Linked DNA regions of Elephas maximus indicus. The protein of the gene in region 4 interacts with the protein of the main gene of each other region in a biochemical or structural test. Links are inferred from orthologs where the notes say so. Each region holds a gene or a part of one and is shown on either strand. Other genes may lie near its edges. The genes, in order: KIT, FGFR2, GAB1 and PLCG1.

What was found.
Region 1: the proteins of PLCG1 (region 4) and KIT form a complex in vitro, tested with the Homo sapiens proteins (3 studies listed by BioGRID and IntAct, with this or other methods). The link is inferred for Elephas maximus indicus from reciprocal best matches to the Homo sapiens genes PLCG1 and KIT.
Region 2: the proteins of PLCG1 (region 4) and FGFR2 form a complex in vitro, tested with the Homo sapiens proteins (2 studies listed by BioGRID and IntAct). The link is inferred for Elephas maximus indicus from reciprocal best matches to the Homo sapiens genes PLCG1 and FGFR2.
Region 3: the proteins of PLCG1 (region 4) and GAB1 form a complex in vitro, tested with the Homo sapiens proteins (2 studies listed by BioGRID and IntAct, with this or other methods). The link is inferred for Elephas maximus indicus from reciprocal best matches to the Homo sapiens genes PLCG1 and GAB1.

What each region holds. Positions count from the first base shown.
Region 1 is NC_064823.1:106,781,820-106,789,761, reverse strand, and holds the start of KIT (mast/stem cell growth factor receptor Kit), read left to right. Parts: upstream 1-4,939; 5' UTR 4,940-4,989; coding exon 4,990-5,116; intron 5,117-7,942. UniProt on the Homo sapiens protein: Tyrosine-protein kinase that acts as a cell-surface receptor for the cytokine KITLG/SCF and plays an essential role in the regulation of cell survival and proliferation, hematopoiesis, stem cell maintenance, gametogenesis, mast cell development, migration and function, and in melanogenesis.
Region 2 is NC_064834.1:71,983,092-71,990,501, reverse strand, and holds the start of FGFR2 (fibroblast growth factor receptor 2), read left to right. Parts: upstream 1-4,396; 5' UTR 4,397-4,989; intron 4,990-7,410. UniProt on the Homo sapiens protein: Tyrosine-protein kinase that acts as a cell-surface receptor for fibroblast growth factors and plays an essential role in the regulation of cell proliferation, differentiation, migration and apoptosis, and in the regulation of embryonic development.
Region 3 is NC_064831.1:41,427,848-41,435,657, forward strand, and holds the start of GAB1 (GRB2-associated-binding protein 1), read right to left. Parts: upstream 3,008-7,810; 5' UTR 2,997-3,007; coding exon 2,925-2,996; intron 1-2,924. UniProt on the Homo sapiens protein: Adapter protein that plays a role in intracellular signaling cascades triggered by activated receptor-type kinases. Plays a role in FGFR1 signaling. Probably involved in signaling by the epidermal growth factor receptor (EGFR) and the insulin receptor (INSR).
Region 4 is NC_064843.1:28,313,591-28,320,934, forward strand, and holds the start of PLCG1 (1-phosphatidylinositol 4,5-bisphosphate phosphodiesterase gamma-1), read right to left. Parts: upstream 3,006-7,344; 5' UTR 2,946-3,005; intron 2,432-2,945; 5' UTR 2,322-2,431; coding exon 2,105-2,321; intron 1-2,104. UniProt on the Homo sapiens protein: Mediates the production of the second messenger molecules diacylglycerol (DAG) and inositol 1,4,5-trisphosphate (IP3). Plays an important role in the regulation of intracellular signaling cascades.

The DNA.
Region 1 (7,942 bases), on a different chromosome or scaffold from region 4:
TTATAATCCATCCATACAATTGAACATGATACTGCCATTAAAATTGTTTTCCAAATTTTTTTAATAATTTGGGCAATGCTTATGTGATGTTTAGTGAAAAAGCCAGATAGAAAACTAGCGAATATAGTAAAATCTTAAATTATGTAAAGAAAAAAAAAGGTCATATATAAGCAAAGAAAAAAGATTAGAAACATACCAAAATGAACTCTTCAGTGATTATTATCTTAGGCAATTTTTGGTTTTTTGTTCTTTATAATTTCTGGCACTTTTCAAATTTTCTACAACAAGCATTTTTACTTTTACAATAAGAAACATAACATTTACATTTTTCAAGTTAGAAATTATAGTGAACATGTTCTGTTGCCCAGCATCATTCCTCCTTCTTCTGGCGAGAGTACTTCACTCTTTCTTGGAGGACACACCTTTCCCCATTCTTAGAGTGAGTGGTATGGATGAAGTAGAGCTCTGTCTTAGTTATCTAGTGCTGCTATAACAAAAATACCACAAGTGGATGGCTTTAACAGTTTATTTCCTCACAGTAAAGTACGCTAAAAGTCCAAATTTAGGGTGTCAGCTCTAGAGGAGGCCTTTCTTCCTCTGTCGGCCTTCTCATCAGTCTTCCCTTTGACTAGGAGCTTCTCCATGCAGGGACCCTGGGTCCGAAGGACGCGATCTACTCCCAGTACTGCTTTCTTGATGGTATGAGGTCCCCCTGGCTCTCTGTGCACTTCTCTCTTTTATATCTCAAGAGATTGCCTCAAGACACAATGCAATCTTGCAGATTGAGTCCTGCCTCACTGACACAACTGCCGGCCATCCTCCCTCATTAACATCACAGAGGCAGGATTTACAACATATAGGAAAATCACACAATACCGGGAATCATGGTCCAACCAAACTGATACACACATTTTTTGGGGGACATAATTCAATCCACAATAACCCCCAACATTTCCGGGGTAGACATGTGACCCAAGCCTGGCCAAGCATTATATCTTGTCCCTCTGGCCTCCTTGACTGGTTTTCAATGTGCATGTGACTTAAACCAGGCCAGCAAGACCCAGTTTTAGTGCTTTTATAAACCTTTGCAGTGAGTAGATTCTGACTCACAGCAACCTTATAGGACAGAGTAGAACTGCTGCATAAGGTTTCCAAGGAGCAGCTGGTGGACTCGACCTGCTGACCTCTTGGTTAGCAGCCATAGCTCTTAACCACTGTGCCACCAGGGCTCTAGAGTTTTTATAGGAACTGTTGATGGGGCAGAGAAGTTCTGCTTCCACTGGTATTAGAGCTGAAACCTAGAGCTGCCCGAGTGCACAAGAGACAATTAAACAACAAAGAAAGTATTGTTGAAAGATGGAGAAATGTATGTATGTGTCTGTACACACACACACACCACCCTCAAGTCCTGCCGACTCTGAGTTCCTGGATCTAGGAATGTCTAGAACTAGCACTGTTCCTGGACTGTCCAGTTATAAGAGCCAGTAGATTTTAGGGTTCTTTGTTTGCTTATGCCAGCTAGAGCTGGGTTTCTACAAGTTGTAATCAAATGTCCTCATTGACACAATTATGAAAACTATAAAATACATCCTATATAAGATACAGAATATTTGCATCATCACAAATGGTCCACTGAACAGTGCTGATCTATAGTATAGTTCAACCCCATAGCTGTTCACTCGCTGTAGTTATACATGTCTGATTTCAGTACACAGCTAACAAACCCAAAGGCCCAGGTACTGGAGGTTGTCTGCTGTGCCCTGCACAAAGCCTAGATCTAAGGAGATTGAGGGCATCTCAGGGGAGAGGTAGGGGTGAAGGGACACTTAGGAAGTGCTTAAGGCAGTGGCTTTTTTCCAATCAGTACAGAAGGATTTCAATATTCTACTAACCAATATGGCTAAATTGATGTGTAACGGCTGAGTAAGAGCCCTGTTAGCAGATATTATAGTTTCTTATTTGGATGTTTGTTTTTCCTGCTGGACTGTGAATTCCTCTAAGTAGGGATTTTGTCTTACTCATTTTTGGAGGCCTAGTGCCTACTGGGAAACCCTGGTGGCATATAGGTTAAAAGATACACCTGCTAACCACAAGGTCAGCAGTTCAAATCCACCAGGTGCTCCTTGGAAACTCTATGGGGCAGTTCTGACTCGATGGCAACAGGTTTTCAGTAAATGTTTGTTAAATAAATGAATACAGATGACATTCTAGCATTATATAATCCCCTTATTCCGATTTTTTTTTTCCCCCTGATGGAAGTTTCCTTCCTAGAATTAAATTGCAATATGGTCTCTTTTTACCCACTCTTCTGAAGACTTGTACTCTCCAATATCAGTTGATTGAAGAAAAAAATTATAAATTTTCTCTCTCAGGCACAATGTTGATATTTTAACTCATAGTAATTTTTTTTCTCTTACAAAATGGATTTGAGTAATAAATCAAGATCCTGGAAATTTATGATTGCCTCAAGTGATATCTTTGATCTGTCATCTTAAGAAAAAAGTATGGTCTGATGGGCCAGAGCACAAACAGAGACCTTCTGAGTTTCAGTTCTCCCACAGCTGTGTGACTTAAACCATTTGCTAGGAGACTGGGATGTGGGTTCCCACATATAATGATAATGACTGTGAGGGCAGGCCCACATCTGGCTATTAACTATTGTACTCCTGCTACCTTGAAGGAGCCCTGGTGGCAAAGTGGCTAAGAACTCAGCTGCTAACTAGAAAGTGGGTGGTTAGAACCCACCTGCCACATTGTAGGAGAAGGATGTGGCAGTCTGTTTCCTTAAAGATTTACAGCCTTGGAAACCCTATGGGGGCAGTTCTGTTCTGTCCTATATGGTCGCATGAGTTGGCGATTGGTTTTGTTTTTTTTGGACTCCTGGTACCTAGCTTCTCCCTGCCTCACAGGTGTTTTTGTTAGGTGCTATCTAGTTGATTTCAACTCATAGCAGTCCCATGTGACAGAGTACAACTGTCCCATAGGGTTTCCGAGGCTGTAATCTTTATGGAAGCAGATCGCCAGGTCTTTCTCCCCTAGAGCTGCTGGGTGGGTTCAAACTGCCGACCTTTGGGTTAGCAGCCACGTGCTTAACTTTTGTTTCACGGTTGTTTTTGTTGTGTGTTGTAGAATCGACTATGACTCATAGAGACCCTATATGACAGAAAACTGCCCCATAGGATTTTCTAGACCCTCAACAAAATGCATTGACACAGTGGCTGTAGCAATGGGCTCAAACATAGCAAGGTTTGTGAGTTATGGCGCAGGACTGGGCAGCGTTTAGTTCTGTTGTACATAGAGTCACTATGAGTCGGAACTGACTCGAAGGTGCCTAACGACAACAGCAACAATCTTTATGGGAGCAGATCGCCAGGTCTTTTTTCCTTCAGAGCTGCTGGTAGGTTCAAATCGCTATTAGGTTAGCAGCCCAGATCTTAACCACTGCTTTGCAGTGGACAACAATAAATGTTTGTTGAATGAATACATAAATAAATTTAAAGAGAAGCAATTATACATATTGATCATTTGATCATCCTCTAGTAGTGATAATTTTTAAGTGATTAATTTAAGCCAATTTAGGTTATGTCAGCATCAAACAGGAGAGCTTTCAACATTAAATGAAGTGGGGATCTGGGCAATTATAAATTTTGGATGATACTTTAGAGAGGAGTCTAGGTGTACCTACATTGTTCTATAGCTTTTTTCTGATGGGCACTTCCCATTTATTTTCCATTCTTAAGCTCTGGGGAAAGTGGGGGGAGGATGTTTGTCTAGTTCATCAGAAGGCATAGGGAAAGCTCATCGTAACCTGGAGTCAGTTTTAAGATTAGGGTTCCAATCCTGGTCTCCCCTTTATTAGCTGTGTGATCTAAGGCGACTTTTAGAAATAAAATAATAAAGATATCTGCTCTAGCTACCTTATAAAGTTGTTATTGTGAGCATGAAGTAATATTCAGCATGGGGAAGAATTATAAAACTCTATACAGATATTGTTGTTACATTTCATTCAGGGGCGCCACCATAAGCAGGTGGGCGAAGCACTTTCTATGCAAAGGGACCTGGGTTAAAAGTATCATTTTACTATCATTTTGAGCCTGGCACGGGCTGGAGCAGCTAAGAAGAACGCAGGGATCCTCAGCCCTGTAACTGTCGTGATACAGACGCAGAGAAACTGCATAGAAAAAAAAAAAAAAAAAAAGGCACCCAAAAGGCTTTGCACAAGGATTGGTGCAAGTGGGTTTAAAAAATCAGGTTACCTGAGCAAACTTCGCAAGGCGCCCTTCCCCACTCCAAGGCCGCAGTCTTCAGAAAAGTCTGAGCAGGGGGTTGTTGGGTGGAGGCTACGCCGACCAATAGGGAACCAACTATGCTCTTACAGGTAACGGAGCAGGTGGAGAAACTGAGCATAATTACCTAAACTCCCTTTTAGCCTTTTACCGCGACGCCAGGCGCCACGCTAGGTCCCACTTGTCTAACAGGAATGGGGAACAATGTCGGGGTCCAATTTACTAACCACCCCGCTCCCGTCCCGGAACCACTTCCACCACCAGAAGTGTCCACGCCCTCCCTCATGAGTATGCACGAAGGCTGGCGGCCAACCTTTATTGTTTGGGGAACACCTGGCAGGTGGTGAGCCCTTGCCCTAAAGTGCGCTGGTGTTCGGCTTCACAAAACGCACACCCTCGTCCAGGAACTGCCTCCCGAGCCTCTACCACATTACAGAGGAGGAGAGGTGGAGAGATGTAGGGCTCGGGGGTCGAGACCCTGGCTGCGAGGGCCGGAGTGCCCTCCCCCGCCCCTTGGACACAGCCCCCAGGGATTAGCCAGTCGAAAGAGGTTGGGGCCAGCGACGCTAGAAGGGAGCGCAACCCATGCGGGCGGGAGGAGGGGAGGCGAGGAGGGGCGTGGCCGGCTCGCAGGGGGAGGGCACTGGGAGGAGGGGCTGCTTCTCCGCGCTCAGGCTCTGGGGGCTCGGCTTTGCCGCGCTGAATGCACTTGGGCAAGAGCAGGAACGTGGAACAGAGCTCAGGTTCCAGCGCAACCACCGCGATGAGAGGCGCTCGCGGCGCCTGGGATTTTCTCTGCGTCCTGCTTCTCCTGCTCCGCGTCCAGACAGGTGGGAGAGCACGGCGGACACCCCGGACCGCGCCCCCCAGGGCAGCCTATGCCCGACGAAGGGCTGAACATACTGGGGTGTGTCGGGAGAGGTGGCTGTTGGCCTTTCAGGTGCCAGGCGTTTTAGCCTGCGGGAAGATTCGAGGCGTCCCCGGGGACTCTCCTGCGCCCTGCCTTGCTCACCTGCGCAAGAAGCCCCCAGTCCCTGGTGCTGGGGCCACTGAGCTGGGAACCAGAAATGAGGGCAGCGAGGGGGCTGAGGGTGAGCGAGGTTGCAGGCTGAGGGCAGCCGAACTGCATGCGAGTTTGGGATTTCTTTTGTGCCGAGGGTTCGCGGGTGGTAGAGGCGGGCGGTCAGGGGTTCGCACCGAGCGCGTTATCTCTACCGTGCGAGGTGCGGCCACAGCTTCCTTTTGTTAAAAGTTGCGTGCGTGTGACCGGTACCCCAGAGGGCCGGCCGGCAGGTTCTCAGCCTTGCGTAGGGTAAAGTTCGAAAGCCTTTTTTTGCTCTGTGGCTGCTGCTTTCCAACCACGGGCGCTCTTTGTGCCTGCCCAGAGATAGGAACCAACGCGCTACCGCCTCTACTAGCGGCGAGACCGGTGGAGACGAGTCGGAGGCGGCTGTGCTTCCCGGCTCCCTGGTTATGCTTTTGCAAGCGAGGCGCGCGGCGTGCGGCCGTGGGGCCGGACCCAGGGTGCGTGGAGGTGGCGACGACAGGGTCAACTTGGGCAGGGCGTATAGCAAGCAGCCGCTAGGTTGCAGACTTTTTGCTTTTGTAAATCCCGTGCCGGAGGCTCTCCCCTTTTTGCCGCGATGCCGTTTCATCCTTCCACGCGCGCCGGAGCGGCTGGAGGCTGCGTTTGCCGCCGGCTCCCGGGGAGACAGGGACAGCGCGCTGGGGCACTGCGATCCACGACCCCAGTAGCCGCGCGCGCCCAAGGCAGTGTCCCAACAGGCTGGCGGGGCCCTGGAAGCCCCTCGTCTCGGCGACCTGTGATCGCAGCTCCCAGTTTTCTTCGGGAATTTTGAGATTCGCTGCACCCCTTCCCACGTAGTATTAATACTTCAGAGCAGCCTGAGGTGGGGGGTGGGAGATGGAGTGGAACTTTCTGCAAATTCTCCTTGGTTCTTAAAGCTGTTATGGAAATCCAGTTATATCCGCGCGGGAACTTGGGTCTTAAGGTGGGGAAGGATTTGCAGATTCCTGGACCGCTTCCTGACTCCTTTTTTTCTGGGTGTCGCTGGTACACGCGGCCCTTGCGGGTCGCCTGGGTAACCCCCTGAAGCCCTTTTCTCCCTCAGGTCATTTTTTTTTTTTTTTAAATCATTTAAGATTACCCTGATGATGTAAGGATAGAAAGTGAGTCTGAACTGGAATACAAGGGCTCCAGAGAAAGCATCGCAATGAACTATGGTGGGCTCTGTCGACTACCGGTCGTTTCTCCATAAAGTCTCAAGACGCAGCTTCCCCCTCCCGGTCCGAAAGGCATTGTGAAGGCTTTCCTGTCGGGGAGGAGAGGCCTTCCATCTGGACCCCTGTGAAGTAGGAGGGATCATGAGTCAGGGTTCCAATGCCTTGGAATTGACTGCCTAGCTAAAACGACGTATGCGGTTGTTACGTTCTTGTGTCTTATTTTATTTTTTGATTTCAGATAGGGTATGTGAACTAGACCCGAGTACGGTTCCAAGAAAGACAGGCCTCATTAAACATTTCCCTTTTTTTTTTAATTAAATGAATCGATTGTTTCCTTCTTCCCCATAATTCTCCCGCTTCATCCAGCAGATGTTTGGCAAAGGGAATTTTAAAGTCTGTGTCTCCTGGGGAGCACTGTGGTGTAGTGACAAAGCCTTGGACTTCCAATCTGGTTCGTTTTCTCTGCCATTCATTGGCTGTGTGCCCTTGGGCAGGATGCTGAAATTCTTGGGGATCCCAGTTTCCTCTGAAAGTATAATGAGGCATCCGCCTCATGAAGGTTCCTTTGAGTCCAAAATTCTCCTCCAGAGTTCTGATAGTCAACTGAGCATCTTTCTCAACTCTCTCACTGACCCCTTCCAGCTGTCTGGAAATTTCTTTGCTGCTTCTGGTCACTAGGGCCGCTTGGTGTGACCTACCTGTCTGCCCTTATAGTTTACGCTACCCACTCCTCTGCTGCCCTACAGTTTGCCTCTGACAGCTAGGAGAGGTGCCAACTCTCTAATGCCACCCCCTCCCTCCTCTAGTATTTACAGCTCCTATGTCAGGCAGGATGAACCTGGAAGGAATAGTGAATCATACCATCCCCTTGTTCCTGCAGGTGTGAAGCCAGAGTCATCGCCAGCAGCTGGACACAGGGCATGCTGGATTATTATCCTGCTGAAAATAATATGACAGTTTTATGGAGCGATCCCAGATAACTCATTTAATCCCATTCTCCTTCCTACCCATCCACTCATTTTTTCCTATGACTTTATAAATCATATATACTGGGCTTCTACAAAGCACGTTTTCTAATGTGCCCTAAATTTCATATTACATAAACTTGCTGCCCTTGAGTCGGTTCTGGCTTATAGCGACCCTATAGGACAGAGTAGAACTGCCCCGTAGGGTTTCCAAGGGACAGCTGGTGAATTTGAACTGCCAACCTTTAACCAGCCACCAAGCTCTTAACCACCGTGCATGTGTGTTATAAAATAGTTGTTGCTCTTTGATTAGAAAATGTGTGCCAGGCACTGTGCTGGGAGCTTTGCCTGTCATTTCCAATCCTCTCAGCAAGTCCAGGAGGCAGTACTATTACACCCCCAGCACCTACAGCTGAAGAAACTGGCTCAGGACAAAACACTTGCCCA
Region 2 (7,410 bases), on a different chromosome or scaffold from region 4:
CCGCTGGGAAGGGCAACAGAGGGAACCGAGGAGCACTGCAATGCTTTCCATTTCAACAGCCATTTGTAGGACTCAGATGGCCTGCCCAGGACATGTTTCATCATTTCATCACAGTTGAGTCTTGGGTAGGCACCGCCAGGCCTTTTGATGGGGGAGCTGTGGAATTTAGCAGCCAAAATGACTCAAGGCTATGTTAAACCCAAGCCCGTATTAATACTCAGGTATTGTGGTGCTAAGGAGCCCTGGTGGCATGGTGGTTAAAGCGCTTGGCTGCTAACTGAAAAGTCAGAGGTTCGCACCCAACAGTTACTCCGCGGGAGTAAAATGCGGCAGTCTGCTTCTGTAAAGGTTACAGCCTTGGAAACCCTACGTGGCAGCTCTACTCTGTCCTGTAGGGTTGCCATGAGTCGGAATCAACTTGACGGCAATTTTTTTTTTTCTAGATTGTGGCTCTACAGGTTAAGCTATTTCCTTTAACCCTCCCAATAGTCCTAGGAGGGTTCTCCACGAGTCAGAACTGACTGGCAGGCACACGGTGACAACAATAACAATAATCATAAGTAACGCTTACATAGCTAGCAATTCCCATGTGCCAGGCACTGTTCTGCTTGTCACCTCCTAAGGCATTTAATCCTTTTAGTAATCCTATGTCATTTACCAGGATCCCTGGTGGCGCAGTGGTTAGGCACTCGGCTGCTAACTGAAAGGTCCGCCATTCGAACCCATCAACCACTCTGTGGAGGAAAGATGTGGCAGTCTGTTTAAACAAAGGTTTACAGCCTTAGAAACACTATGGGGCAGTTCTACTCTGCCCTGCAGGGTCACTATGACCTCAAATTGACGGAACAGCAATGGGTTTTTAATGCAATTTATCAGTATCAGTTGCTGGGGAGTCAGTTCCAATGTGTGGCTACCCCTTGTGTGTCAGAGTAGAACTGTGCTCCGTAGGGTTTTCAATAGCTGTGACCTTTCAGAAGAAGAGTGCCAGGCCTTTCTTCTGAAGTGCCTCTGGGCAGACTTGAACCTTCGGCCTTTCCGTTAGCAGCAGAGCAATCACATTGACCGTGTGCACCACCCAGGTTGATCCCCCTGTGAGATAGCTGCCATTCTTTTGATCAATTTACAGACAAGAAAACAGAAGACTCAGAGATCGTAACTTGCCCAAAGTCACACAGCTATTGAGTGACCAGATCCACAACTTGACTGTGGAATCAAAGCCTTGTATCCCCTCAATTTAGGGTAGCAATGCTCCCTCACCTGAAGGTGAGGAGATACTTCCAGAAGGACTTTCTCTCCAGGTAAGTCTCAGCTTTGAAATTCAGGCCCAATTCTAAGTTCAGAATCATTGGTGAGGTTCAGTGGTGGATCCATGATTTTGCTTCCGTTAAATGCCACAGGCTCCCTGAAAATGGGTGCTTGCTGTCTGGGGATTCGGCCTCTCCCCTCACCTCCAGGAGTAAGTACTCTTAGCATGGTCCTTAGACTATTCAGTACTCATTCCTACTGCTTTGTCTACGCTATGCACATTATTGACCTTTTCCTGACCTAACTTTTCTGTAGGGCGAAGGAACAGCCACCCATCCAAAAAACATATTATGAAAAGAAAAATCCCAAATCTTTGAAGAAGAAAGGCCTGTGGCAGTGAAGGTCTCCACCCCTTCCTCTTTTCTCTTCCCATAACCAACGGGCTTGAAGCACAATTTGTTTCTAGAAACTTCTGGGGCATCGGAGTTCTAGTGTCCTCATTTTTCTTCCTTCCCATTGATGTATCATTACTAGAGTAAAAAAAAGAAGGGCGTCTCGAGGGCTTTTTGGGGGGGAAAAAAAAAGAGTGCCTACTGAAGACATTTTGTAAAGGGGGGAAAATTGGGAAGAAAAGAAGCCTCAGTAGGGGGTGGAGGGCAGTGAATGTGGCCTTGTCTGATGGTTCTTTCAGCTGAAACCTGGTGCTGGCGCTCCTTGTTCAGTTCAAACTGTCACCTTTAGTTCTTGATGGCTTTTCTGCCCTCGTCCCTGAACCTCAACAGATTGGGGCTTATTTACCTATTCACACTCCGCCGTGGTAGCTCATTAATAGGCTTATTAGCAACACCATTCATGGGAGGCCATTGACAAAAGGGGCTCCAGCCACTCAAGAGGGAAGAGAAAAAACTGTAAAGAGATTATTTTCTCATTCAGAAGCCTCGCTGGTGTGAAAGCTTTCCTAGACCCTCTGAGGTCACTTGAAGTCTAAATTTGATGACAGAATTGATTAAAAAAAAAAAATAGTAATAAAACATTCCAAACATGCTTCTACTTTTCTCAAAACTGAAGCGTTTGCTGCAGTGGGCTTGTGGCTTCACTCACTTAAAAAGGAGCACTCTTGAGGGAATAAGGGGCTTTTGATGGATGGGTGTCTTTTCATCCCTATGAAGAATAAATTCTGGAAACTGCGTCTGGATGTTAAAGAAGGTGTTCTTATTTGTTATTTTCAGCGGAAGGCTTCCTTCCCATTCAGAGAACATAAAGCTATTGATGAATGAGAGATACGGACTTGGGTTTCCTGCACCATTAATTTATGTGAGAATGTGTGAACAGCATTTTCGGTGGCTGATGGATACCGTACAGGATGAGACAGGAATCTGCCCTGAGACACTCGGGTTTCCCGTTGGTGGGGAACATAAAGATGTAAGTGACGACCTCCCAGCAGACTGACATTCAGAGGTGACCCTAGGTCTGAGAGCTTGAAAACATTTTGGTATGGACAGAACAACCTAGATGGGAATGAGTGGCTGAGGGACACCTGGCTGAGGCGTCATTGAATTCAAAGATTCAGGGACTGATCCAGGTTAGAGGACTTGATTAAAAGCATATCCGTCTGGGGCAGTTCTACTCTGTCCTATAGGGTCGCTATGAGTCGGAATCGACTCGACAGCAGCGGGTTTTTTGTTTCCTCCCTCTCAGCAATGGGCTGATAATTCCGTCTGAGACTCAGACTCTAGTTTTTGCTGCCAAATTTCCAAAGTATAATTTCAGAGCTGTTTGCCTCAATCAGTGGTTAAGAGCTCTGCCTGCTAACCAAAAAGTCGGCAGTTCGAATCTACCAGTCACTCCTTGGATACCCTACAGGGCAGTTCTACTCTACAGGGTTGCTATGAGTTGGAATCGCCTCACATGGCCATGGGTTTAGTTTTTGGTTTTGCCTGAATCATTTAATGGATTTGCACTCTTTCCTGGCTTTTAAGTAATTTGTATGAAAGGTTTCTACGATGTATTGCAAATAAAAAAAGATTTCCTAATAAGGTGGCACCTTGGAAAAATATTTTCATAAATGTTGCAAAGAATACAGTGTTCAGGAACTACGTGCAACTCTGTTTCTAAATGCAGGCAAAGTCGGTTTTCCGGGTCAGCGTGGCACTCACTGCTCCGTTTGTCTGTCTTTAGGCCTCAGAAGCCTTCTTAAGTCACTTCTTGGTTTAACGACCTTTCCTAAAGAAAGATAATTAAGGTTTTTTTATCTGTATTGCCTTGAACTTAGGCAGACTGCCTAGGAGCTGGCTAAGTGAGGAGGGAGAGAAAGTACAGTAAAAAAGAAATGAGCCTGTGGACACAGCTTAGTGAAAAAGGTAGAGTGGAAATAGGAACTTGAAAGCGTATCAGATACAACTCCCTGGTTTTGCAGTCAGAGAATCTAAGATCCACAGAAAAGAACTGATTTTCTGAAGGTCCAAAAGCTATTTGTGGCAGAGTTGACTTTTTAGAATTTTAAAAATGTTTTAGTAACCCAAATATACATTACAAAACAATTTGTTGTTGTCGCAGTTTTTCACTTTTTTAAAAAGGGCCACGTTCAAAGTCAGCTCTGCCTGGAACCAGCTGTGTGACCCTGGGCAAATTACTTAACCTCTCTGATGTTCAGTTTCCTTTCCAGAAATTGGGAATATTGCTCTGCAGAGGGGTTGTGCCGATTAAACAGAATAACTTATTCAGAACTCCTGGCACATGGTGGGGCCTCCATAAAATATTAGGTTTTCCCCCTCACTTCTATGGTATTGAAGGCCAGGGGAAAAAAAAAAAGCAACCCCCTACAAAATTTCCAAGTTGTCTCACCTTCTTCAAAAGTTTCATTTGCATTAAATTTCTCCTCCCAATAGCACGCCTACGCATTTCAAAGTTCCTTTAAGGGTAGAGCAGGTAATCTGTGATTTGTTTTCTGACTTGAAACAAAACAACGTCACCCAGGCACCTAGTAAAACGTTGGTCAGTTGACCTCCCAAGGGAAGGGAAGGAGGCGGTGGCGCAGGTTGGGGGAGACCGGCCTTGTTACTGGAGGATAGAGTTGCATCTCCCCGTCCAGATCGCGCCCGGGCCCCTTGCCTGCCCGGCCGGGGTCTCCCGGCCGCTCCAAGGCGTCGGGGGCCGCTCAGGGCTCGGCGCGGCCCCAGTGCGCCGCGCTGATTGGCAGAGCTGGCGCCGCCGTCCAGGAAACGGCTCGGGTTTCAGCGGGGGCGTGACCCGCCGGAGGAGGCGGTGGCGCGGGCGGCGGCGGCGGCGGTGGAGAGCGCAGAGCGCCGCGGAGAGCTGAGCGGCGGCGGGTGCGGAGCGCGGAGCGGGCGGCGGCCGCACAAAGCTCGGGGCCGCGGGGCTGCATGCGGCGGACCCGGCCTGGCGCCGCAACTCCTCTCCAGGCCGGCGGGGCCCGGAGGCCGCAGCTCCCGTGCGCGCTCTCCCCTCTCGCAAGTGGCGAGCAAAGTTTGGTGGCGGAGACGCCGAGCCGGAGTCCTTTCTTCCTCTCGCTCCCCAAACCCGAGCGCAGCCGCGGGCGTCATGCCCGCGCTACTCCGCAGCCCCGGGTGCGCGTGAAGCCCAAGCCCCTGCACTGCCAAGGATCCAAGGACGACACTCGGCTGGAGTTTCCACCGAGGGACCCCCGAGCTCGGCGCTCCCTCCATCCCGACCCACGCCGGCCGCGGGGACAGGACCGATCGCGGAGCCGCGTTGCCATTCAAGGTAATCGCTGAGCGGGACAGAGCGGGACGCCTCGCCAGCGGGACAGGGGCGTCGTGGGGGCCCGGGACGCCGGGCCACTGACCTCTGGGGGAAGGCGCGGGAGAATGCCACTGGGAAGAGGGCCCCTGGCCTCCCTCTTGCTGCTTAGGTGATGGGGAAGGTGGGTGCGTGCTCGCGGCTGGCGTTTGGGAAGTCCTGCCTCCACCACCCCCGTCCAGATGCTCACATCTGCTTCTTGGGTTGACACCCCTTCTCCGTCAAATTCCGCTGGCTCAGCCCACCGTTCCTCCGACCCCTGAGCGGGTGGGCGGCGGGGCTGGTTGCTGGTGGCACAGCCCCGCAGGCGGGGCGCCCTGCGGGGCACCTTTGGGGTGCTTCATCCCTGGGCCTGGGGAGCGCCCGTCCCATTCCATCTAAGCTCCGTCGGTGGACCCTTACCCGGGAGGGAGCCGCTGGGGTGGGACCGCCGACATCCCGGTTGCCATCCCCTAGTGATGGCGATGCCGGGTGGGGGGCATCTTTGGGGAGGAGCACTGTTCGGGTTCCCAGATTTCGTAGTACGCGGCCGCCGCCGGCGCTGGAGCCCGGGCAGGCGGCGAGGGCTGGAGGGAGCGCGGCGCCCGGGGCTAGGGGGCGGGCTGCACCGACTTTTCCCGGCTCGCCCGCCCTGCAGCCGCTCGCAGATGTCGAAAGCGCCGGCGAGTTCTGACTTGCGCGCTCATTCTTCCAGAGGCGGGGCTCGCTGGGGAGCCGGCCGCGGGCTCTGCGAGGCGCCGGCCCGACCACTGCGGCCCGCGGGGCCGAGCGCAGGCTGCGCTCTGCGGAACGGAGCCGGCCCGGGCGGACAAGCCACCGCGCGCCGCGCAGACTGCCCGCTCGCAAACTCCTCCAGCCCATCCTTCTTGCCCGATTCAATGAACCTACTCTTCCCGGCGAACCTGCTTTCAAACTCGGGGCACCCATTATGTGTTTGGTGTGAAATGCTATCAACATTTAAAACCCCATTGTCCCCCTGGTCCCAAATCCCTGTAAATCTTCCACCGGTCTCGACTCATTTTCATCTGAAAAGCCTGTTTAGTTTGAATAGAAAAGCAATCAGGCGCCCCTCTCCCAGGAATGTCAATTAAAATGCAGATTTTTTCAGCTTTTTAGCGCGGAGGACTGGGAAGAAAAACGGGATATTCTAGCAAATTGATGAAAGAAATGCTACCATGAAGTGGGGTGGTGATGGTGAGGAGTACCCCCAAACTGCCCTCAAGATCTCGGTGGCTTGCAAGTGTTCACAGGGCGGGGACTGTTGTCCTGGGTCCACCCGTATTTATTTTTTGCGATTTCAGTGTGTTGAGGAATTTCCCCCCCGGACTTGACACCTTGGCTCCTGCCCTACTCAGCTCTGGGGTGTAGGGGGAGCAGTAAGGAGGCTTTGAGCCGGGAGGTGCGTGTGCCCCTTGGGGCAGCGGGGCATCCCCAACCTGGTGGAGCAGTGTCGACTTTCTAGATGTGAAATCTACCCAGGAGCCAAGCACCCAAGAGCCCAGTGTGGGTGACCAGCAGTGGACAGAAGGGCCAGTCCACTAAGCCGGGCCCTGGCATTGGCCGTCCTTCTTGGAGGGCAGGGGTTTGGGACTGTTGTGGGAAGTTTGGGAGCTGAGCGCTGGCCTGGGGACTACTCCCGTGGTTCCTTTCTCCCCAGTGGTCTCTTTGCCTGTCTTTGGGGCCGGCTCGTGCTGAGGGGAGAATCGACCGGGAGAGCGGGTGGCCGCGAAGACCCATCCGTCAGAGGGAGAGTGACAACTCCTCCCGCGTGCAGGCTGAGAAGACAGTTCCCTTTCAAGGGGAAAAATAAACACGCCGGGGCTTTCACTGGGGCTCAGGCTCCAGGAAGGATTATGGTATTGTAGGCAGGAAACTGGATTGTGGCCGCCAGCGGCATGCTGGGCCTGTGTTCCCAACTCCGAGCTCGGGACCTAATTATCCCGCGTAGGGGGCCGCTCTGTATTTTTGTCCACTCGGGTGCGGAGCTGCTCGGACCTGCCGCCCCAGGCCGCCACTTTGTCGGGATTTGGGGAGGGGCTCCTGTGGGGCCTGGACCTGGAACTGCGGAAGTGCAGGGTTCTGGTGGAAACATGGGCTGAGTGAATGGCTTTAGGTTTGGTGGAGGGCACTGCCAACCTTTCCCTGCCCAGAGCTAAGGAGACTTCTCGGAGGGAGGGGCAGATGGGCAAGGCGGCTGGGGGAGCAACCGGAGCGCGGGCTCCTGTTAGGAGTCAAGAGTGTGGACAAACTTGTGTGAGAGGCAGAACATTCCCATGCGTTCTGGACTTGCTTAGTAAATCATTGAGTGTTTGTGTGCCTGCCTCCCACGTGCATGTAGGAATAGATGCAGAGTTATCTTTGGAGGCCTTAACTTTAAGAGGAAAA
Region 3 (7,810 bases), on a different chromosome or scaffold from region 4:
TCTTTTCACAGCAAATCCATTCATTAAAAACCATTATAAAGCAACGTTTTGCCCACTGGGTGGCCAACAATGTTTCCTTTCATCCAGAAAATAAAGATTCTACGTGAAAAGAGAACAGGCATAGGCAATGCATATATACATAATCAACGGCACTGGGTTTGGTTTTTTGGTTTTTGGGTATCATTAATGGTCAAAAGCTGCTTTAGCAAAAACAATCTAAATTGGATAAAAAAAAATTGGATACCTAAGCCAAAAGATCAACAATAATCTGGGAATGGCAACATCTTCTGGGCAACCAATTTCACAGCTAAAAAATGAGACAAGCCTCACTTAAACACTCTGCCTCATCCTCTTAGCTACCTCAGCTGAGAGCCACCCTGCCCACCGTCTTCCTGGGCCATCTTAGCACATTCCACTACTACGTAAAGAAAATACACTAGTGCTCCACTGGGCAAGAAAAAAAAAAACAGCCTTTCCCCAGCTGTTAGGGGTATATTCTTCCCTCCGCTGAGGGAAAACACAAATATGAGTCCACTGTCTCTCTAGTCTTCCCATGGTTCCAGACTACATTGAACTTGTTCCTTGAAACACATCTACAAAGCATCCATACCACTCAACCTGGGCACATAATCATAAACTACTTTGCACTATTGGTTCATTTTTCACATATGCCTGTCTTCCTGAAGACTCGAAAAGCTGCTTCAAGGCAAACTCCAGGTCTGACATTTCTTTTGCACACCACATCTGCTCTACAGCCCACTTCCTCCTGGCATTCTCAACTAATATCCACAGACTCATAGAAAGTTATAATCGGAAAGAACCTTTAGGGATGATTTAGTCCAAGCCCCGTATTTGAAATGAACTAGATGAGCCTCATTAACCTTTTACAGCTCAGTGAGTCAGGTAGACCTGGGTTCAAATCCTGCCTCTGGCATGTTCTGGTTGGATAGATTGTTTTCTCACCTGTGAAACAGAGATAATACCTACCTCATAAAATAAGGGTCAAAAAAGAAAAAAATAAAAATAAAATATATACACACACACATTTGAACCTCCTTTTTTTTGTCCTTGTTAAGACACAATCTTTTTGGTTGATTTTCCTTCTGGTTTATACTACATTACATTGCAAGCCTAAGAGGCAGGACTCCCCCCACCCGCCTATATTTTCTAACCTTATGGTACCTAATAGAGTACTTAGCGTCTTTCGAAAAAGCCATAACTAACATGTGAAAGAATGCATTAAACAAACCTCTATTACCAATACCTAGTTCCCCAAGAACCTAATCACTAGACTACTAGTGGAAAGGTTGGCAGTTGGAACCCACTCAAAGGCACCTAGGAAGATAGGCCTGGCTATCTACTTCCAAAAGGTCACAGCCCTGAAACCCCCGTGGAGCAGTTCTACTCTGCAAGCACAGGGTCATGACGATCAGAATCAACTCTGTGGCAACTAACAACAGCTGCATGTCTTTCCTAAATTGTGTCTTCTCGAAACTAACATACCTCCAGCTCCCTACCCACCCCCCTCTCACACACACCTATCCCTTTAGAACCAAGAGCTGAAAAAACCACTGCCTCTCCCCTTATTTTTGGAATAAAGCTAGTATCTCTACCAGGATATGCAGACAAACAGTTGACAGGTGGAGTGACAGAGTTTGGAAGGATTCAAAATCTCTGGAGAACTTTCTTAGGATTTATGGCATCGATCCCTGAAATGAGAATTACTTGTCTATAACAAATTCTGGCAAAAGTAAACCAGAAACTCACTGGTGAGCTGTCAGTGAAGTTAAATATTGCACTTCAGTCTGTTCCATGAAAGCAAACAGTGACTAATACGATTAACTTCAGCTCTAATACTGGATGGAGATATCCTCCAACAAGAAACAGGTTCCAGTAGCACAAGTGTCAGTCCCAGGTAGAAAATTTATATTTGAGTGAACATAAATACTGCTTTTTAAAATTTTACTAGAAAAAGTATTTGCTCCGTACGCCAGCATAAAAGTGTTCTCTCTTTCCTTTGCAGGAGGCAGCGACAAAAAAAAAAAAAAAAAAAAAAAATGGGGGCGGGGAGATCTCAGACGCCTGAAGAGGACATAGATTTCCACTAAAGTTGGTTCTTTCAAGGAATATTTTTTCCAACAGCATCGTGTATCAATTACACAAATGCCATTTAAGCCACGCTGGTGCCCTGGGAAAGATTGGCAACACACAGAAATTCCTTCTGGCTTCAGCTGTCCCCTCCTGCGGGGCTTGACAGCGCGTTCAAGACGCCCAAACACCAGCCAGCAGGCTCCCCCCAGTGCCTTCCTCTCGCAGCAAACCGCCAGGGCTCTCGGGCCAAACTCCAATGTCCCTCAATTCAAAACCGCGAAAATGTGAACCCTGCTAAGCAAACGGTAGGGCGCGTTAAGAACTTTTTCTTTTTGCGCAGACATGAGATGCTTGTCTCCGATACCAATTTCTTAGCTCCACCGTCCCTTCCCCGAAACCCACCTCCAAGGGAAGTGAAGAAAGAGCGTGGACCAAAGAGGGCTGGCGGCCCCTACGGTTTTCCTAGTGCCACCACCCCCATAATTAGGTGCAGAAAGATAAAAAGAAAGGAGAATGCGCCTCTCCCCGCCTTACCCCACCCCACAACTGCTAGAAGCAATAGTAAAAACATGCAGCGGGAGTTCATCTGGAAACCCTGGGCCCTCCTATGGGGCGGTAAGGCCCGAAATGCAGGCCGTCCGGAATCTGGAGGAAGAAAGTTGCCAGGCGAAGTGAAGTGTAAGCCAGGGCGTGAGTGTACAGCACCCGGTCCCCAGCCTGATGGGAGAAGGGGCCGAGGGTAAAAGAGATGCGGATTAAAAAGCCCCGCGCGCGAGCAGCTGCAGCCGCCAGCCAGCTCGGGACCGGGTGCCGCTGGCAGAGCCTCTACTTACATAACGCTTCAACTTTTTCTCCGGCGGGGACTTGCGGAGCCACCCCGAGCAGACCACTTCGCCACCGCTCATGATGCACACCTCTCCGGCCCTGAGCGGGGCAGCTGAGGGGCGGGCAGGCGCGCTCCCGATACAGCCGACGCCTGCGGGGCGCACAACGGCGAGGTCCTAGCTCTCCTGGCCGCGCACCCTCCGCGGACAGGACAGGCGAGCTCCCAACGCGCGCTCGGCCCGCTCTTGCGCGGGGCTCCCGGCGTCCGAGCGTCTCGCTGGCAGCTCCACAGATGTGAGCAGAAGCGGGATGCTCCGCCGCTGCCGACCGCACTGGGCAGCGGCTGCCGCGGGGCCGAGGGCGCCCCGGCCTCTCCTTAATGCGCCCGCCTCGCCACCAGGCGCGCCGTCCCACCGGCCGCCTCAGCAGCGCTCAGGCTCAACTGGGCCGGCGTCTTCGCGGGACTCTATCCGGACAAGGAGCCAGCGCCTCGGTGCCTTGCGCTCCGCCCCCTCGGGACAGAACCTCCCCAGAGAGCCTTCCGAAACAGACACCGCTGCACGCACACAATGCTCCGCGCGGTGCCTACTCCCGCTCGCCCGCTCTCGGTTTCGGTGAGCCCTGCGCAATCCAGTCCTTCGTCCTCCTCGAGGGAGGGCGGCTCGCTTCTCTGCGGCGCCCGGGAAGCCGGGAGGAAAGGGAAAGCTGAGAGGGTCCCGCGTGCAGCGGGTGCAGGCAAGGTCCCGGGACGCGGAGGGAGCCGCCCAGTCGGCGGCGATGCGCGGCGCGTCGACGAGGTGCGGGCGCGGAGAGGGCGCAGGTCCCGCCAGAGGGTGGGTCCGTTCTCGCCGCCGCCGATGAGGGCGGGGAACGGCGGAGGAATGAGGCGCCCGGCTGCGGGGAGGGATCCCACTGTCCCGTCCCCTCACGCTCCTCCCCCGCCACCTCCCCCACCCTGGGGTGCGCGGCAGGTTCTGAGCGGCCACGGGTCCCGGCCCGATCCCTCCCTCTCTTGGCCTCCGGGCTGCTGTTCCTCCCTTTTCTCCTTCTCCTCCCAGTTCGGGCCCGGCTCCGGTTTCTGCCTAGACTTTCTCTGAAACTCGGCCGGAGCGTTCCAGCCAAAACAACAAGGGCTGGAGGAGGAGGAGGAGGAGAACGAGGGAGGGAGCGAACTAAGGAGGGAGGGAGCCGGAGTCCGAGAGGCACCCTGGGATCTGTAGTTCGGAACGCGAGAGCAGAATCTCGGCCGCCCGGCGATGGTGTCGGTGGGAGCCCCCAGAGTACCCCTCGCCTGGGAAGGCGGCGGAGGCCGGGCGAGGGCAACCCCGGCGGGGCTCGGGCGCGGGGAGGGGCGGGGAACGTTAACATGTTCAGTGCCGGGCTTACCACCTTGAGCTAGCCCGGGTGTCAGTTCCGAGTGCGTACTGTGCTCCAGACCGGGAGTTTCGGGGTTTTCCGTGTTTGACTGTCCACAAAGCCAAAGAGGCCAGACAGAGACCCCGGCGTCGTAGGGAGGCGGCGACTCCGCGGGTTCCCGCCGCGAGAGACCGAAGAGCCGGGTCTAGGACGGCTGCATGGCGTCCTGGGGACCGCCAGGACTGGGGTGGGAGAGTCCCTGGCGGCGCCGCGAAAGTGGTGGGAGCACTTCATGGAGCCAAAGAATTTGAAGTCCTTCGCTCACCCCATTTGTTGTCAGCTTCTTCCACTTGTATTTGGTTAAAATCAACCCCTGCCCGGTATGTTTGGCTAGAAAAGGGAAAATTACTGAATGTTCTGTTCTACTTGCCTGTTTGTGTGTTTTACAATTATTTTACCTGGGCTTGAGTGTAACATGATCCTGTAATGTAATACATTTTCCAATTTATTTACGAAAAATAAAGCCCCAAAACAAATTTTAGAAGGCTGTAGTTGTAATTTTCCGTCAAGTCGATTTGGACTCACGGCAACCCCATGTGTGCAGAGTAAGACTGTGCTCCTTAGAATTTTCAAGGCTGTGACCTTTTCAAACTAGAGAGCTTCTGCTTCTGAGTGGATTCGAACCACCTCTGAGCGGGTTTGAGCTGCCAACCTTTCCTTTAAGGTAATAGTGAAGCCCTGGGTGGTATAGGATAGTAAACAAATAAAAGGTCAACATAAGTACAGATTGTGATAAATGTGCTATGAAGGAAATAAACACAGCAAGGTAAAGAATAACAGGTGGGACTAGGTCTTGAGGAGGTATTTAGCCAGAGATTTGAAAGATGCTCTAAAGAAAGAGGAGAATCAGAATTGGTTTATTGAAGGATAAAAGAGTTAACCATAGAGAGAACTGGAGAAAGAATAAGCAAAGAATTACTTCGTACAACCAAAAAATCCAAACCAGTTGCCGGCGCATTGATTCTGACTTATGTCGACCCCTTCCTTGTGTGACGCAGCAGAACTGTGCTCCATAGAGTTTTCCATGGCTAATTTTTTCAGATGTAGAGGCATGGGGGAGGAGGCACACCAGGTGACACTGTCAGAGGGAATGTCACCAAAATGACTATAAAAAATCTCATTAGTTACAACAACAGAAACATTTTTCATAAGCCCAGCTTACATGTGTTAATATACCTAGGAGGCTAAAACTATGCTAATTTATTTTTTGAACAGTCTAATGCGATCCCATCAGAGCTGTCGTTATTAGCCAATGGCAATGACACTGCAAATCACGCTGGTTTCATCTACACATGCAGCAAGCACACGATATTGTTTTTGTTGCTCCCAGTGTTTTTATAGTCGCCGATTTTGCCAAATTTTCTGGTGTTTTAGCTACAATATTGTGGTAATTAGTGTTTGTGAACCTCTATCAATAACTTTTTTGAGAATGAAGTAGTAATTAAATGAAAAGGAGTCATATATGAGAATTATGATTCATAAGTAACATTAGTACAAAAAACATTACTAAGGCTTCTGTATGATCTGGTACAGGAGGAGCTCCCTGGGGGGTGGGTGATACCTGAGTTACTGCACTGGGTGACACCAGCCCTAGCGACACCGCTGATCACCAGGCTTTTCTTCTCTCGCACCTCTGAATGGACTGGAACCACCAGCCTTTTGGTTTACAGTCACAGCTACACACATTAACTGTTTACACCACCCACGGACTCCTGGTTACATCATAGTCCAAATGGAGCCCCCTGGGCACCTGTAAGTGTGGCAAAGAAAGACTCTGAAGAAAGAGCAGAGAGGCTGCTGAATTGTGCAAGCCCCAGACTCCTAAACTGGGGCACTGATAAATGACACCCCCATTACACAAGCGTAAATGGCTTCATCATTCAGTAACTCTCCATTAAGTTAATATCTCCATTACTGTAACCCGTATCAGAAAAATACTATGAAAATAGAATTAATTTAGCAACCTAGTAAGTAAATTATCGGAAAATAAAGCTGGTATTCTAAACCTATCTTCAGCTTACATAAAGAGCTTAGTATGTAGAAAAAATAAAATCAGAAGAGGTCTGGTTCCATTGAGGTTTAGAGCCCTTCATCTTTTTTTTTTTATATATAATTTTTATTGTGCTTTAAGTGATAGTTTACAAATCAAGTCAGTCTCTCACACAAAAACCCATATACACCTTGCTACCCACTCCAGATTACTCTCCCCCTAATAAGACAGCCCGCTCTCTCCCTCCACTCTCTCTTTTCATGTCCATTTCGCCAGCTTCTAACCCCCTCCACCCTCTCATCTCCCCTCCAGGCAGGAGATGCCAACATAGTCTCAAGTGTCCACCTGATCCAAGAAGCTCACTCCTCACCAGCATCCCTCTCCAACCCATTGTCCAGTCCAATCCATGTCTGAGCCCTTCATCTTTTGACAGGTACTTTGAGTATCACAAGGGCTTGGTTTTTAGATCTGGATTCATTTTTCAGGTCATCGATTTTTCAAATCATGACCTTGAGCAAATTACACGGTGTATCCGAGCTTCAGTTTCCCAATATGTGAAATGGAATAATAATACTGATATTGCAGAATTTTTGTGAAAATTAGCAATGATAGACTATTAAATGCCTGGCACATATATAGATGTTAGAGGGCTTCAGTGTTTGTTGTTGCTTTTCTTAAACCTTAAGGCTTTTTAGAACACAAGTGGGTGTAGTTTTCACCATGGCAGCCAATGAGCCAAAGCCATTCTTAAGTAAATGAGTACAGATCTTGCCACAAGTCCTCCAAACAAAAATAAATCATTGCATTTGTTTTTCACTTCTCCATAGGCAGTGTGTATATACACTGAGTCAAAAGTATTTACGAATTACATTCTAAGGCTAATCTGTCATTGAGTCATAACTGTTGGCTTTAGCAAATTTGCTACTCCCTGTTATCAAGTTCTTTTTAATAAGAAAATTTTAGTATGTCTTCCACTGTTTGGGAAACCCTGGTGGCATAGTGGTTAAGAACTGCAGCTGTTAACCAAAAGGTTGGCAGTTTTAATCCACCAGGCACTCCTTGGAAACTCTATGGGGCGGTTCTGCTCTGTCCTATAGGGCCGCTATGAGTCGGAATCAACTCAACAGCAGTGGGTGGGTCCACTGTTTAGCATTTGGCTATTCCAATATTTTTTTCCCTTATTTCAAATAAGTAGTCAATTAACTCATTTCCGTATAAGAAATCTTTAAACATTTTTCCCCTATCTTTTACTGTGATGTTCTAAGCTGATATTTCTACAGAACAAATAAGGGCTGAAGATATGTATCCATGTACGTATTTTAGAAATGTTCATTATTTTTACATTATTTGCCATTTTTAGATTATCTCTTTGTCTTAGTCATCTAGTGCTGCTATAACAGAAATACCACAAGTGGATGGCTTTAACGAAGAGAAGTTTATTTTCTCACAGTAAACTAGGCTAAAGTCCAAATTCATTCAGGGTGTCAG
Region 4 (7,344 bases):
ACCCCTGCTTTCTGTTTGGGCCCCAATTTACAAACAAGAAAGTCACACCCAGTAGTCAGATGTGCAAAACTCCAAATACTTTCCTACAGAAACACTGTTCTTTGTAGTAGGTGAGTGGGTGGGTGGGTTGGGGCAAAACAAAGTCATTTCCTCCGTTTTTCAGGGTAGCGATTTAGGGGAAATGTGAACTTGGTCCCCCATCCTCCCTTCCTGCACCCTCAGGCTCTCTTGCATCCATACTCTACCTCCCAGAACCTGGGAGGACAGTGTAGACTATTATTGTTATTGTTATTAGTAACAACTCACATTTACTACAGTTACAATGTGTCAGGCACTGTGCTAGATGTTTTAAATCAATTATCTCATTTAATTCCAGAGAAACCATATACGATGGACATATTGCTATCTCCCTTTTTACAGATGAGGAAACTAAGGCTCAGAGAAGGTAACTGGCAGGGGAACGCAAAACTAGCTTTGAGCTTCAAACCGGGCATTGCAATCACTCTGCTACATTTAACTGCCCGCTGGTCACTCGTATGGTTTAAAATGCAGCCTGTTACCCAGGAGATCTCTACCTGGGAACCTCCAGCCAGTGCCACCAATTCAACACAGCACAGGGAACATCACAGAAGCATGGAGTCTGATGCCTGAGGGATGTTCCCAGGGCTATCCCTGTTCTTTGCTGTGTCTGTCCTTCCTCCACTTTGGAATCTAGTCTTCCAAATCATTAAAAAAAAAAAAAAAAAAAAAGAGTTCCCAATGGCTGACAGGGCAGATGGAGGCATAAGGGAAGAGGCCACCACTTCTTAGTTCAAACGGCTATGTCAGATCTGGAGTTTTTAGTTGAGGTTGGCTCCGTCACCACACTTTCCTTCCTCCCAATCTCCTAAAACATCTAAACGCATGTACACCATACTCAGAAGATCTATCAGGGCCTCCCTTGGGGGTGTCACTTCCTGACCCCTTCCTCCACCCGGACTTAGTTTTGAGCCCCGATCTCTCCAACAACAGCCTCTGGGGGGTCCTGGCAGGAAGCAACCCACGGTCTACAGTTGTAGACACATCATCTCTTCACACTTGGAGGCGGGGGAATGGAGGGCTGAGCTGAGTGTGCACGGGCACCCGTTAAGTGGGGTAACACTCTGAAAGATGTGGGGTTTCTCGAAATCCCCCACCTCCCTCCTCTCACCAGAGACCTGATGAAAAGGAGCCAAGCCCAGGTTTAAGGATGGCAAAGAGGCAGGAAACCAAGAGTAGCCCTTCCCCGTTCCCTGCTTCCACCGGACACAGGATGAGTGACACAAAGGGCTAGTTCCCAACCTGGCTGAGCACTACTGAGATGAGTACCTGACACCACTGCACTCAGGGAACGTGCTCCCAAGGGCAAGGGAAACTGGCCCCTTTACCAAAAGTCTGTGTCCTGGCAGTGGGTTCTACTGACCCACACAAGCCTCCAAAACTCAGCTTCAGGACAAAAGAACCAGCAGAAAAGAGCGGCCACGGACTTCTCTCAGGCGTTTTCAAACCAAACAAGACCACCTTCCTCCCTCTTCCCAAGAGGGTGATGAGTAGGCCTGGCTCTGCCCCCCAACCAGGCCGACCCCAACATCTGCAGAAGTTCTACTTAAGGAACCCCACGGTGCCTCTTTCAAACAAGAGCCCAGCCAGAGGGCCCAGAGAGTTTCCTAAAGCCCGCTCTTTCTGGAGAGAGTGGTGGGCGGTGACCGTCTGCTCGGGTCCCAGGTTTTCCGCGGGGTGGGGGACGCCGCCTTGCCGCCCCTCGCTGCGCCAACACCGCCCCCCTGGGCTGGGGGGCCCGCTGCCTGCGCCGCTGGGCTGCGACTCGCTAGGATTTTTAGGCCTCCGGGCAAAGAGCCTGGAACACTCCCCCCAGCTGGGGGAGGGGGTGTCCTGTCAGGTGACCGAGGCCCGGATGCCCCCCGCCCCCGGTGACCACCGGAGACGCGGCGGGGGCGGGGGCGGGGCGGGGGCTGGAGGAAGGCCCGAAAGTTTGCCCGAGTCCCGCGAGCTGCGTCGGGGCGCGCGGGGCCGGGCCGGACCTGGCCACCCCGCGCGCGCCGGGCCGGGGAGGGGGCGCACTTACTGGCCCCCTCGATCTTGTCCGCGCCGCGGCTCCACGTGATCTGCCGCGTCTCCAGCTTGACCTGGAAAGTCTTCCGCTCCGGCCGCTGCGACTTCTTGGAGTAGAACAAAGTCATGACGGTGCCCACCTCGAGGCTGCGGCAGAGGTGCAGCACCTCGGCGTCCGAGGGCGCGCCGGGCCCGCAGCCATTGGCGCAGGGGGACGCGACGCCGGCCATGGCTCCGGCTCTGGGGGCGGCGGCGGCGGCGGCGCAGGCCCGGCGGCCCGGAGCCGGAGGTGGCGGCGGCCGAGGCGGCTGAGGCGGCCGGCGAGCGGGACCCGAGGCTCCTGCGGGCGGAGACGGGGGCGGGGCCGGAGGCGGGGCGGGGCCTGAGGCGGGGCGGGGCGGCTCGTGCAGGCCCCGCCCCGCCCGCGCGCCGGGAACAAAGGCGCCCGCGCGCCCGTGGGGAGGACCCCCGCCCGCCGCGCCTGCGCCCCGCGACCCCCGGGCAGGCCCCAGGCGGGGGCGGGGCTCGAGGGCCGCGGGGGCGCGCGCCGCCCCCCGTCAGTCCGCCGGCTCCTCGGCCCCGCAGAGCGCCCCGCGCGGCGCCGGACACAGCCTGCCCGCCGCGGCCGGCCCCGGCACGCTGGCGGCCCCGCCCACAGGCTGCAGGCCCCGCGCCGGCCGTCAGTCGCACCCGCGCGGGAGGCCGCCCAGCCCGCTGTCCCGCACAGGCCCAACCGCAGCCCTTTCCTCAGCCCCGCGCCCCACCCCCGCGCCCCAAGCACCGCCCGCGCGACGCCGCGTTAGAGCTGTGGGGATGTCGAGCGCCCCCCGGCCCGCCCGGCCTAGCCCAGTTACCTGGGCGGGCTGCCCGGCGGAGGGAGCCAGGCCAAGCCGGGCCGCCTTACACCCGCGGCGGCGGCGGCGGCGGCGGCGGCGGCGGCGGCGGCGACGGCGGCGGAGGCGGGTTCTCCGCGCGCCCTCCCGGGGGGGCGGGGCGGAGCCGCCTGCAGATTGGCCGGCAGGCACTGATGGACAGCAGGCATGTCCCGCCCCCTCCCCTCTGTCCGCGCGGGGCTGGTCCGCAGGCCGCTGTTAAGACCGGCAGTCCCACATCTGTCCCGCCCCTGCGGCCAGTGTGGCGCTCAAGGGTACCCCCATTTGGACAAGTCCCCCGGGCCTAGCATCCCCGGCAGGGCCTGTGGTCCCGCGGCCGCACTGTCCAGAGGCCTGCGTCTGTCCCTCAACGACTACAGCTCGTCCTACCCCCCGCTCCGTCCCAGCGGGACAGGTCCCCGGTCAGAGTCAGGGCGAGGGCCCAGGTCCTGCCTGAGCTCTGGCCTTCCCGCCGGACTCTACTCGTTTTCCACCTCCCTCTCTAGCTGCTCCCTGTTGGCCTCAGAAGCTTCTCTTTCTGTAGGCTCAAGTCTGAGTCAGTTCCCAAGGTACCTGACTTTTCCCAGGGCTCCAACCACCACCCAGACACCGTGACATCAAATCTGTATCTCTGCTGCTCTCCAGGGCCAAGCATCCCACTGCCTGCCCCACATCTCTCAACACAGGCACCTCACCTTCCAAATTGCTCTTCCACAGTGGTCACTTTCTCAGAAAATGGCAGTAAACTCTTCTGAGTTGCTTTGGCCAAAACCTTGGTGACATCCTTGATCCCTCCTTCTGTGTCAACCCCACATCAATCCATCAGCAAGTCCTGTTCGCTCTTCCCTCAGATTTCTCTCCACTCCACCCACAAGCCCAAGCCACCATCTTTCTCTCCTATTTTACCCATTGATCTTGCATGCTTCTACTCTTGCCCTCTGCCTCTATTCTCCATAGATTAATCTTTAAGTTATATCATCCTCCTCTATATCTGACCTAAAACCCCTGGATTTCCCATTGGACTTAAAATCCACACCCCCTACTTGGCCTGGAATGTCTCCTATGATCTGTCCCCACTTTGTCTCACCGTCCCTTTTCACTCTCCATTCTCCAGCCACAGTGCTTTTTGTGATTATTTGAAGAACTCACACTGTCTTCCTAAAGCTGTTCCCGAGACCACCACCTCCTTCTCTGCACTTTAGCTGCCACTGTCACAGAATGCCACCAGAACTGAGGACACATACGGTCACAGTAGAGTCTCTCATACAGATATTGAGCGAGGCAGATGGTCAGCAGCCGGGCAGAGCAGGTCAACTTACTGCACTTCAGAGTGTGAGGCCCAGCATACACAGCTGATGCCAGAGAGAGATCCAGGTTACCTGGAATTTGTGAGACTATAAACCTATACTGCAATTTGTGAGTATGTGAGGTTGTGTGCTCAGGCAATCCACAGTCGTACTCCAATAGCTGAGCTGGGTAGGTCTGGGCTGCCAGGTCTTGCAGAAACAGTAACTCTTTTGCAGTAGTGTGTGTTTAATTCCCTCGAGCACGGCCACTAAGAAGCTCAGAATTCCAGCATGAAGTTGGGAAGCTTTGTCCTAATAGGTTCACCTAGCTTCAGCACCTAAGGGGAGATGCGGCAGCTGAGATGGACTGCCACCTAGCTATGGGCCTTTAAAGTGGAAGGCAGGGAACTAAAGCTGACCCAGTGCCTTGCACATGTGGTCACACCTAATCTCACAACTACCCTCTAACTGGGGACTTTTGTCCCCATTTTACTGATAAGGAGACTGAGAGAAGGTCTGCAATTTGCCCAGAGAAAACCATGTAACAAGTGGGGTACTTTGCATTTGAACCCAAGTTTGCCTGATTCCATGCGTTTTCTGCCTCCCAAGAGAGCCATTGGCTTAATTAGGCCCTGGTGGTTAGTAGTCAGTGGGCATGGAGGCTAGCTGGCTAATCAGTGTGGGTAAGGAGGCATGCCCACACCGGCCTTAAGCACAGGGTACCCCACAGAACATGGGTGCTCACAGAGTATGGCTTGGCTTGCTTGGTCTTAATGAGGTCCTGCCGACTTGACGGCACTGGGTGGGCCCCTGAATGCAGTCCCTGAGTTTTCCTGTGCCAGGCACTGAGGCCACTAGCTGACGGATGGGGAAGGACTCAACCACAACAGCCCTCCAGGAGTTCAGACATTAAACGAATACTTTATCACATAAGGGCAATATATGAGGGCTACAGAGGAAAAGGACGGGAGACTATGGAATAAAACATTAAAGAGACCTACTTCAGACCAAGTAGATAGGGAAGACCTCTTTAGGACTCAGTGGAAGTCTAAAGGACGTGAGCTGATGGCCCGATGAATTATTAGGGTGTGTTGGGGGAAAGTGTTTTCCAGACAGAGGGAACAGCACGTACAAAGGCCCAGAGGCCAGAAAGAACATGGTGAGTTTAAAAATAGAAAGAAGGCTAGAGTCTAGTGAATGAGGGAGAGTGTCGGGGATGAGGAGACCAGGAAGAAAGGTGGGAGCCAAATGGGGCTCCTCCATGCCTATCCAGTTCTTGTCCATTTTTCCAGGAGGCCCCTGTGCTGACTCGGGCAACCTGTGGGCTGTTATGTGCCGTTGAGTTGGTTCCAACTCATAGAGACTCTGTAGGACACAGTAGAACTTCCCCATAGGGTTTCCAAGGAGCGGCTGGTGGATTGGAACTGCTGACCTTTTGGTCAGCAGCCGAGCTCTTAACCACTACACCACCAGGGTTCTTGTGGGCTGTGATATGCCTTAAATATCTGGTTCTCTATTTTCTGGGAGCTTCCCAAACGTGAAACCCAGGCTTCCCTGCTCTTGCTTTCGCCTCTGGAGTTTGGCCCATGGGGGCTCCACAAATCTCTGCCAACAGATCATGTTTTCGATCTGCTGCCAGGGCCCCATTTCATTTCCTCCTGGGACTTCTGGGCCAGCACCCCAGGACTCAGCTGCCTCCCTCCACCAAAGGAGGTTCTGGAAAAGCAGGGCGCAGCGCAGAGGGCGTGGCCGGTATGGGCTTCTCCCAGCTCAGCATATATATATGGGTGCGTGGGTGTTACTGGCAGTATATGCAGTTGTGCCTGCTGGGAGGGAACAGCCCCAGCACCCACACAGGCACACGGCTCTGACATCACCAGGCTAGACCTGCTTGGTCCTATTTCTGTGAACACTCATGCTTCAACATGCCCTGCCTACACCAATGTCTGTGTCCGGAGTCTGGGGAGGAGTCCTAGCCCAGCTGCCCTTCTGTCTTGTGAACTTGGCCTCACAGGTATTTGTTTTACTTAACACTCCGAATAGTACTTGATGCAAAGCAAGCACCACATAACTGCATTACTCACATTGGTTTATTTACTCCTCATTACAACCCTTTAAATACTAATGTCCCCGTGTCACAAACGAGAAAACACAGAGGCACAGAGAGGTTAAGAGACATGCCCAAGGTCACACAGCTAATAATTCAAAGCCAGGCACTCTGGCTCTAGTCAATGCTATGTTGCCTCCCATGTAATATGGACATTTTATTGTATCCTCCTTTCTTTCCCTAACACTACCTGATCTGTTTTCTATTTATAGTTTTGTTAAATGCTGCTGCAGGTTGAGTTCTTCTAGAAGCTGGCTCTATGACAGAGGTTAGTGTGCCAAATGTTTATTAAAGAGTGCCCTTGGGATCAACACTGTGGAAGGGAGAGGAAGGAAACAGGAGTGGGCAGAGGGAGAAATTAAGCTGTAACGTAAGTCTGACAACAGTGAGCCAACCCCACAGGGAGCCTTTATTGTTGTAGTTGTCGAGTTGATTCCAACTCATGTAGCTCAGCCTCAGTCACTGGATGTGGACTATCCTGGGAAAAGCACAACCTTGGCAAGACAGCTCTCTGCAGCTGAGGTGATCTTAGAGGAGCTAACAGCTAAAGGTTATCTGCTGACAGCTTTCCCAGCAGTTGGGGCAACAAGTCCTTGCTTGAACAGCGATCTGGGTGGTACATTGCTATGCCCACCACAAATGTATTATTTTCTAGCCCTTTAAAAGTTGAGCATTTAAAAGAAAGGACAAAAATACTACAGTACAGAAATTGGATATGAGATCGTAAGAAGGAAGAAGATAACCATATAGGTTAACATGACTACTGTGAGAATCAGATGTGGCTTGAGCTTCCTGGCAGCCAAGGCAAAAAGTTTTCTCTTCCTTGGGGGAGAAAAATTTTCCTGCGGTTAAGTTATAAAACCAGTTTCTCGAATGGACATTTATTTGGTTGAACTAGTGGAGAATGTTTTCAACAGATAAACAGCAAACACTAAAGAGTCTTCATTTGTCTGTTCCTTGTAATGACTTTGGGAGGGAATAATACGAA